Arabidopsis thaliana: one gene and its partner. The protein of the gene in region 2 purifies or fractionates together with the protein of the main gene of each other region. This does not show direct contact. Each region holds a gene or a part of one and is shown on either strand. Other genes may lie near its edges. The genes, in order: CAB2 and NOL.

Region 1 (3,974 bases), on a different chromosome or scaffold from region 2:
AAAACCACAACAGAAAACATTTTGTTAGAGGTTTAATTTGCAACAAACTATTCCTCAATCACTTTGATAGAAACTCTTTAAGCTATCATTCGTAGTTTACTGATTTTTTCATCACCCTAAATAATTTCGACAGTAAAAGTTTTTTACAAAACACAATTTTATTTTTACAATCACTAATTGCCCTCACACATGAATTCACCCACTCTTTGGAACGCAATTTCTAAGCTTTGGGGTGAAAATGAATAAACCTAGCTATATTCATGTTCTCCTGTTCTATTCTCTTGTTCTTTCGATACCACACACCAATGACACAGGCGCTAGCTCTTCTATGCTCCAAACATATATGTTATCATGTGTTCACCAATTATAGCTAGTGTGACAAGCGAACCTGGTCCACAGAGGATGTCACGGAAGGCAATCTCTCGCACGACAATGGATTTTAACTAATATGTAAGATATATGATCAGTCCATTCAATGCGTGGATGTGATTTTAATATGGTATCAGAGCAATGTGATATATTGTTATCCAGATATCGTATGAGCCAATGTTACGAGCTTCAGAATCAACCAAACACGGAAGAAACTACTTCATTATCTATTCTCTAATTCTCTCAATCAGAAGAAAAAAAACGATTGCAATTTCTTCTTCAATGCGATCATATTTTGTGAAGAGACGATATACAAGTTAAATCAAGGGAATATAAAAAACTTATATAAAAGACTCTTTCGTGTTGTTCAAGCTAACATCCGAGAATCACATTTTCTCTTGATTTGAAAAGAACATAATCTTTGTACCCATTGCCTTAATATGTTCAATCACGTTGCTCGATTGTAGAAATAGCCTCTACAACGGAGTGAACCCAAGAACTGAAAATCCAATTCAATTATAGTTCTACGAAACATATTTAGAGAACAATGAGTTATTTGATTAATGACAAATCATACAAAGTCTTTGCAAATTTACATCTGAAAGTCTCTACCATCCACCACAAACACAAACCTACTCTTTCTCCTCCTGTCTCTCACTCGAATTCAAAAGATTGAAAGAAAAGTAAATTACAAACAGATAGAACTTGGCTCACTTTCCGGGAACAAAGTTGGTGGCAAAGGCCCAAGCGTTGTTGTTGACTGGATCGGCCAAATGGTCAGCAAGGTTCTCTATCGGTCCCTTACCAGTGACGATGGCTTGAACGAAGAATCCAAACATAGAGAACATAGCCAATCTTCCGTTCTTGAGCTCCTTTACCTTCAACTCAGCGAAGGCCTCTGGGTCGGTAGCCAAACCCAATGGGTCGAAACTGCCACCGGGGTAAAGCAAGTCCTCGGCCTCTCCCAATGGCCCATTTCCTGCGACTCTGTAACCTTCAACGGCTCCCATCAAAATAACTTGTGTGGCCCAAATGGCCAAAATGCTCTGAGCGTGAACCAAGCTAGGGTTTCCCAAGTAATCGAGCCCTCCATCGCTGAAGATCTGTGAACCAGCCTTGAACCAAACTGCCTCTCCAAACTTGACTCCGTTCCTGGCCAAAAGCTCAGGGAAGACGCAGCCTAGGGCTCCGAGCATGGCCCACCTGCTGTGGATAACTTCTAGCTCACGGTTCCTTGCGAATGTCTCGGGGTCAGCGGATAGACCAGCTGTGTCCCATCCGTAGTCTCCAGGGAACTCTCCGGTAAGGTAGCTGGGTGACTCGCCAGAGAATGGACCCAAGTACTTGACTCGGTCGGATCCGTACCATGGGCTGCCTGATGGACCCTTTGGCTTGGCAACAGTCTTCCTCATTGTCACACGGCCGCTTCCAAGGACTTCTGATGCCGCAGGGGAAAGGTTCACAGCCTTTCCGGCGAAAGCAGGGGAGGAGAGAGCCATTGTTGAGGCGGCCATTGAAACTTTTTTGTGTTTTTTTTTTTTTTATGACTAACTTGTGAGTGAGAGTGATTAAAACTGGTTCGATAGTGTTGGATTATATAGGGATATTGTAACGTTTGTTATATCTGAAGTAATCTTTATCTGTTCATTCATTGGATTTTAAGATTTTTGTTTTATCGTTTAGTAGTCTTACGTGGCAATCTCTAGTCCACCAGCATTTGTTTTGATTTTTTCATTGCAGCCAAGCGTTTTGTGACCACAAGTTATGAGCCACTGAATACTTCAACGGTTACACTTACTTACACCCTCGTGACAAGAATGATTTTTGCTACAACCCAATAACTAAAACTTAAAGTATAACATTTTGAAAATATAGATTCTGATGATCGAAACATTAATATAAAGTAACATTATAAAAAGCATTTACCCACACATAAATATCAATATTTTCAATGGTAATTAGTTCATCATCACTACCAGTTTAATTTCAATTATGAATCGATTTCATCGTCACTTTATCCAATAACCAAAATAATCTCATGAATTATGTGATATCACCTTAAAACTTTGACGTTTTACTCTTTATCGAAGAAACACAACGATTAATGAAACACTGTTTTAACTTATCGACCATTTCTAAGAACATGAAAGAACTATATTAATTCATATGGCATGTTCATCATCATGGGTTTAGACTTTAGAGAACATATAGCTACTTTTTTTCTTATCATGATTCAAGTTATCTTTATTGTAAACTTCAACAACCTTTTGAACAAACTTATTTATTCGCTTTTTCCGAATTCATCAACAAATTACTCCTCAATCACACTCCTATAGAAAACGGTTTAAGCTATCATTACATGTCTAGTTGGTTTTACTCAGCCCTAGAAGTGTTGTTTATTGCATCACTTTCCACGAAGCACAATTTTTCTTTTTTACAATCACTAGACCTCACAGGCTCACACATATGCTTTAGAGCACATTCTAAACTTTGAACTATAAAAGCTGTTAACACTAATACACTATGCGTTCTTTTTTGCTCCAAACACTTTTGATCCATTATTAGGAGACACTCCACTTAGAAAGATTTTCTAATCCTTTGGTCAACTAGGAAGTTCAAGGTTTTTCTAAACAGAAATTCATTTCACAAGTAATTTAATTTATAAGGAAATGAATAGAGAAATCAAATCATTGAAGAACTACAAAATATAGATTCAAGGTCAGGTCTAAGAAAATATTCCTGAAGCTCAAAAAAGAGTTTTCCTCTCACATTATAGAATTGGCCTTTACTTCAACATTTTCCCACCTATTCCACATTTGGTCAGAACATTTTTAATTACTTGTGGATCAATTTCCGGTTGAAATGGGTTTGGTGAATATCCGGTTCAGTTATATGGTGGCCGTTGGAATTGGCTTATTAGTTGTGGCCGTTGTTGAAGCCGTTGGTATTGGTAAGGGAGAAGCAGACTTGTGGCTATGAGTCTATGACCATGACTCGTGATTATGGAGCTGTCTTATGACCCTGACCATCACCTTGATCTGGTGGATTCCAATGTTTTCTTCTTCTTCTAATAAAATATTATGGTCAATACAGGTGCTAATTAAGATGGTAATAATTTCTTATGTTTCTGTGGTAAAGTTTGATTCAATTCCGTAGTTTTAGATAATCTTATTTCCATACATAAATTTTATAGTTTTATCTACTTTGTTCTTATGTTTTATCTCTAGCCAAGAGTTATTATTATTATCAGAAGAAGAAAAAAAAAAGAAGCATATATACAAAAGGTTTAATAAAATGTATTATACAAGGCAATTATCCAAATTTTTTTTGTTTTGGTTTACATTGATGCTCTCAGGATTTCATAAGGATAGAGAGATCTATTCGTATACGTGTCACGTCATGAGTGGGTGTTTCGCCAATCCATGAAACGCACCTAGATATCTAAAACACATATCAATTGCGAATCTGCGAAGTGCGAGCCATTAACCACGTAAGCAAACAAACAATCTAAACCCCAAAAAAAATCTATGACTAGCCAATAGCAACCTCAGAGATTGATATTTCAAGATAAGACAGTATTTAGATTTCTGTATTATATATAGCGA
Region 2 (5,164 bases):
GGCGGTTTTAAGCCAATAGATAGATGGATATATAACTTTTTATGAAGTATGTTGTGGTTTAATCTCTCAAACTGAGAGATGATTTCCTTGTTTTATTTTAGTTAGCTTTATCAGCCAAGTTGAGATTCTCAGCCAAAGACTACAGTGACCATATGGCACTCGTTCGTGCCTTTGAAGGGTGGAAAGATGCTGAAAGAGAAGGATCGGCTTATGAGTTTTGTTGGAGGAATTTCCTGTCAGCTCAGACGCTTCAGGCGATACATTCTCTGAGGAAGCAGTTCAACTATATTTTGAAAGAAGCTGGCTTAGTTCATGATGATTTAGCTCTCAACAACAAGCTAAGTCACAACCAGTCTCTGGTTCGTGCTGTCATTTGCTCTGGCCTATTCCCTGGAATAGCATCTGTTGTGGTAAGTCTAAGACCCATGTCTCTGGCTAAGTCTCCTTTCTCGTGTCAGAGATTTCGGTGAAATAACCTTGTTGTCCTTTTTCTTTGCACAGCACAGAGAGACTTCCATGTCATTCAAGACAATGGATGATGGCCAAGTATCACTATACGCGGTGAGCCTCTTCATTCGTATTTCCCAACATCATTACTTGAGTCTCTCGATATGGCCATCTTTTTTATTTAAATGGTTTTTACGGTTTCTATGTTTCAGAATTCTGTTAATTCGCGGTTCCCAACAATTCCATACCCTTGGCTAGTCTTTGGAGAGAAAGTAAAGGTCAATGCGGTACTCATACGGGACTCCACTGGTGTCCCTGATTCCAGTTTGATCCTTTTTGGTGGTTCATTGAGCACGGGAGTACAGGTGATTTCTCTCATTTTCCTCTTTTTAACCCTTACACTAGTCAGATTATGGAATACTCCGGAATCGAATGGATTGAATGTTGTGTTGTTTCCAGGTGGGACATCTAAAAATGCTTGACGGGTACATTGATTTCTTCATGGATCCAAATTTGGCTGAGTCCTATGTAAAGCTGAAGGAAGAACTCGATAAGCTTCTTCAAAAAAAGGCGAGTTTTTTTCAATTTTAAAAGGAAAAAGTGTTCGTAGTGCAGCACTTTAACACCTTTAGTATCTTTACGATTTGCAGCTTGAAGATCCAAGCATGGACATCCACAAAGAAGGCAAGTACCTCATGCTTGCAGTTCAAGAACTTGTGGCTGGAGACCAATGCGAAGGCAGATTTGTCTTTGGCCGTGACACAAAGAGGCCAAGCCAACCGCAAATAGGAGAGAACAAACACTCCAAAGACGGGACAAACCCGAAGAGTCTCCTTCAGACACTTTTGATGAGAGCTGGACACTCACCTCCAAAGTACAAGACAAAACATCTCAAGACAAACGAATTCAGAGCACTTGTGGAGTTTAAAGGAATGCAGTTCGTTGGGAAGCCTCAGAGGAATAAAACGCTCGCTGAGAAAGATGCTGCTGTTGAGGCCTTAGCTTGGTTGACTCATACCTCTGATAATAGTACTGGCCAACACAATGAGGATGCAGATTCTCCACCTGATGTTACTGATAACATGCTTAAACTCCTTGGAGGACGGCGCAGGCGATCCAAGGGCAAGTAATTGAATCTCTGTAGGTTTTTTCGCAGACAGATTTGGTTTGTGTAACTGTGCTTTGGACGATCTCAAATACCAACCAAAGCAGATAGAGAAATTATACTTCAGTAGTCACTATGTAACTATAGTGTCGTTTTTGGGGCAGAACAATAGTGTAGGGTTATAAACATAAAATCTAGAAACTTTAGGGGCTATGATGTATTTTGAACAATAATTGGGGTTATTATCATCTTATATGCCGCCACGTGGCATTTAACTCTCTCTGAGCTTGCTCGCTTACGCAACTCTCTCTCTCTCTCTCTTTGAGCTTCTGTAATGGCTACTTGGAGTGGTTTCAACGTCTCTTCTTCTCCGTTGCTTAGGCTTCGGTCTTCCTCCGTCTCAAATGTCACTAAGCTTCCGTTTCTCTCTCCTATTTGCCGGCGTCGGTTACTGGCAGAACGCTTTGGTCTCGCAACTGTCGTTGTTACGCGCCAAAACCTCACGGTTACTCCGTCGTCTGCGGCGGTGGAAGCTCGTATCTCAGGGAAAAGAGAACCTATGACGCCTCCGTATAACATATTGATCACTGGCTCAACCAAAGGTTTCATTCACTCTGTCTTTGTCAATTGACTCGAGTTTTTAATCTTCAGAAGGGAAAAAACATATTTTTTTATCTCATTGTGTCTCTAAAGAGTGGTTTTTGATTTATTGATTGTTCAGGTATAGGATATGCATTAGCTAGAGAGTTTCTGAAAGCAGGCGACAATGTTGTGATTTGCTCTAGATCAGGTTAGAACCTGTCCCCATTGTTGTCTTGAACTCCTTTTCTAGAGTTTGTGTGTCTGTAAGGAAACATGCAAGCAAGTAATAGAACCAATCTTCAGTAGAATTTTGCTGTTATGGCTGTTCCTGTCTTGCAGCTGAACGAGTTGAGACTGCTGTTCAGAGTCTTAAGGAAGAATTTGGGGAGCATGTGTGGGTACCGCCTTCTTTTACTGTTCTTTTCCATTCGTGTGGTCTTCCAAGGTTTTTGCTTTATGTGCATTGATATCATGAAACCATTTTCTCTTAGTAGGGAACTAAGTGTGATGTTACGGAAGGGAAGGATGTGAGGGAACTTGTAGCTTATAGTCAGAAGAATCTTAAATACATTGACATTTGGGTACACTCTCAAAACTATGAAGAACGTTCATTTGTTGGTGACATCTGTGTTAATGTTGTTCAGAGTATTTTACTATGTTTTCTTTTCAATTTTGTAACCATAGAAATAGTCTTATAATACCATCTTGAGATGATACAGATAAATAATGCGGGATCTAATGCATATAGCTTTAAACCTTTGGCAGAGGCCTCAGATGAGGATCTTATGTAAGTCTTGTGTTAAGCTTGATCCTTCTCTTCGTTAGTTTCTATGTGATTGGTTTCAGTCATTTACTTTTTGAAATCTTTATGCAGTGAAGTTGTGAAAACCAACACTCTAGGTCTCATGTTATGTTGCCGAGAGGTAGTCAAAGATGTTATAAGGAGATGAATTCAGCGTGTCTTTTGTTATTATCAGTTGGATTTACTGACATGTGTTCATGATTATTAGGCAATGAATATGATGTTGACCCAATCTCGAGGTGGTCATATCTTCAATATTGATGGAGCTGGTTCAGATGGGAGACCAACACCCAGGTTTGCTAGATTCATTAAAGTTTCTTGGGAACATGCTTTAGTAAATCTCCTTTAGGCTCTCTTCTCTGTACTGTCTAATAGCATTTTTTTGATTAACGTTTGACAGATTTGCTGCATATGGTGCAACTAAACGGAGTGTCGTTCACCTGACAAAGTCATTACAGGTAATGCCAGAGTTATATCTGTTGAACTCTTCTTCGTTTTCCCTTCTCCTTATATGACTTCTCTAGTAATTCCTGTCTTTCATAGGCAGAGTTGCAGATGCAAGATGTCAAAAATGTCGTGGTGCATAATCTATCGGTATGAATACAATATATTGCTTCATTTCATTTTTGGTTGTTTTTAGTGTCTTCCTAAATACACTGATACAGACATGCGCATAGAGATGAATAGAATGGATGGATTATAGTTATTTGAACAATTTGAATGAATTCAGGATCTAAACATGATCATAATTCTAATGTGTTTTCTCTGGATTATTGTTGCAGCCTGGAATGGTCACAACTGATCTGCTCATGTCCGGAGCAACTACAAAACAAGTTCGATGACTTAACACTGAGGAAATATTTAGATTCCATTTCAAGAGATTCTCTCTAATACGTTCTCTATTGCAGGCCAAGTTCTTCATTAATGTTTTGGCAGAGCCAGCCGAAGTGGTAAGAACCCATTAACTCTTAATTCTTTTTAGCACAACAATTTGACACGATCTCTAATCTCTAGCCCCATGATTCATGATCACACATTCGTTTGCAGGTGGCTGAGTACCTTGTCCCAAACATAAGGGCAATACCGGCTAGCGGATCTATGAAGCCGACTTACATCCGTTTCCTAACTGGAATCAAAGCCTACACCAAAATATTCTCAGTTAAGACGATTAATAGCTCTGCGTAGAAGTAAATCAAAGCATGTAAACTATTTCTGCAAATTACTTAACCAATTTGTTTTTTTCTTTGTCAAATTTTGGGAATTTGTTTCAGAGAGTTGCGTTGGGAGCAAGGAAGAACAGGTATGTTACTGAAGAGTAGGTGTCAAACTAAGTATTAGAATTGTATTGCTTTCTCAGTTTGTTCAATGGTAAATAAAAACCTCTACATTTTGTTCATGACAACTCCAAAACATGCAATCTATTGTACAATTTGGATTTAAGCTCATTTGCAAAAATGTGAGATTTCTCAGTTAATGATTGAAGTGATGATTTAAAAGTCAGTTTTTTTTTTCCAACCATAATAATTTATAGGCACTATTTTGAGAATCAGACCAGATTTGTCGAGACTGGGATCCAAATGCCTGTGGTCTAGTTTACAATTTAACAAGCAGCAAAAATGTCATTCCAAACCAATCAAACCGGGTAAAACCGAAGAACCGCCTCAACCGGACTTGATATCAAAGCGATTAAAATCAAATTACGGTTCAATTTAGTAAAATCGACTAAACCGGTTAGTTCGCAACTTTCTCTTTGCTTCTTCGTCTCTCTCTCTCTGTCGTGTTTGAGAAGACGAAAAGAGTCGGAGAGAAAGATCGGACGATGAGTGCCGAAGATTTCCAGAAGAAGGTTTCCCTCAGAGATTCCCTCTCCGGCGATATTGAGAACGAATGCGGCGGTTCCGGTGTCGGGTCTACTAGTTCGACGGTGGGCTCCGGCGTCGCCTCTCAAACCCTGGTCCTGCTTCGGAGTCTGTTGGAGATTCAGCAGCGCCGAGCTCAGGCTTACGCCAATCTCAAAAGGTTCGATTGATTCATTGGAAATCTCTCAAAGAGTTAGTTTATTTGTTGCGGTTTTGTTAAGTTCCAATTGATCCATTGCCTGAGAGTTAGACTTTGTTGGTGAATGTTGAAATTGAGGCAAATAGTGTGAAGGATAGAGAGGGAGATGTTTTTTATATTCGTAGATTTCCATGTTTTTGTTACTGAGATCTTCCTCTATTAATCTGAGC

Evidence for each region.
Region 1: the proteins of NOL (region 2) and CAB2 purify together in Arabidopsis thaliana (affinity purification with western blotting, with the first as the bait; one study listed by BioGRID). This does not show direct contact.

The regions. Positions count from the first base shown.
Region 1 is NC_003070.9:10,474,010-10,477,983, forward strand, and holds CAB2 (chlorophyll A/B-binding protein 2), read right to left. Parts: upstream 1,961-3,974; 5' UTR 1,884-1,960; coding exon 1,080-1,883; 3' UTR 647-1,079; downstream 1-646.
Region 2 is NC_003076.8:1,432,940-1,438,103, forward strand, and holds NOL (NYC1-like protein), read left to right. Parts: upstream 1-1,834; 5' UTR 1,835-1,886; coding exon 1,887-2,154; intron 2,155-2,273; coding exon 2,274-2,342; intron 2,343-2,473; coding exon 2,474-2,532; intron 2,533-2,628; coding exon 2,629-2,715; intron 2,716-2,853; coding exon 2,854-2,921; intron 2,922-3,008; coding exon 3,009-3,057; intron 3,058-3,144; coding exon 3,145-3,230; intron 3,231-3,336; coding exon 3,337-3,394; intron 3,395-3,479; coding exon 3,480-3,530; intron 3,531-3,718; coding exon 3,719-3,769; intron 3,770-3,844; coding exon 3,845-3,886; intron 3,887-3,983; coding exon 3,984-4,094; intron 4,095-4,207; coding exon 4,208-4,255; 3' UTR 4,256-4,556; downstream 4,557-5,164. Other genes in the region: ABO6 (DEA(D/H)-box RNA helicase family protein), read left to right, coding at 102-410, 502-561, 660-812, 907-1,017, 1,098-1,577; AT5G04910 (DNA repair REX1-B protein), read left to right, coding at 4,756-4,955. UniProt on the Arabidopsis thaliana protein: Required for chlorophyll b degradation. Chlorophyll b, chlorophyllide b, pheophorbide b and pheophytin b can be used as substrates. Belongs to the chlorophyll catabolic enzymes (CCEs).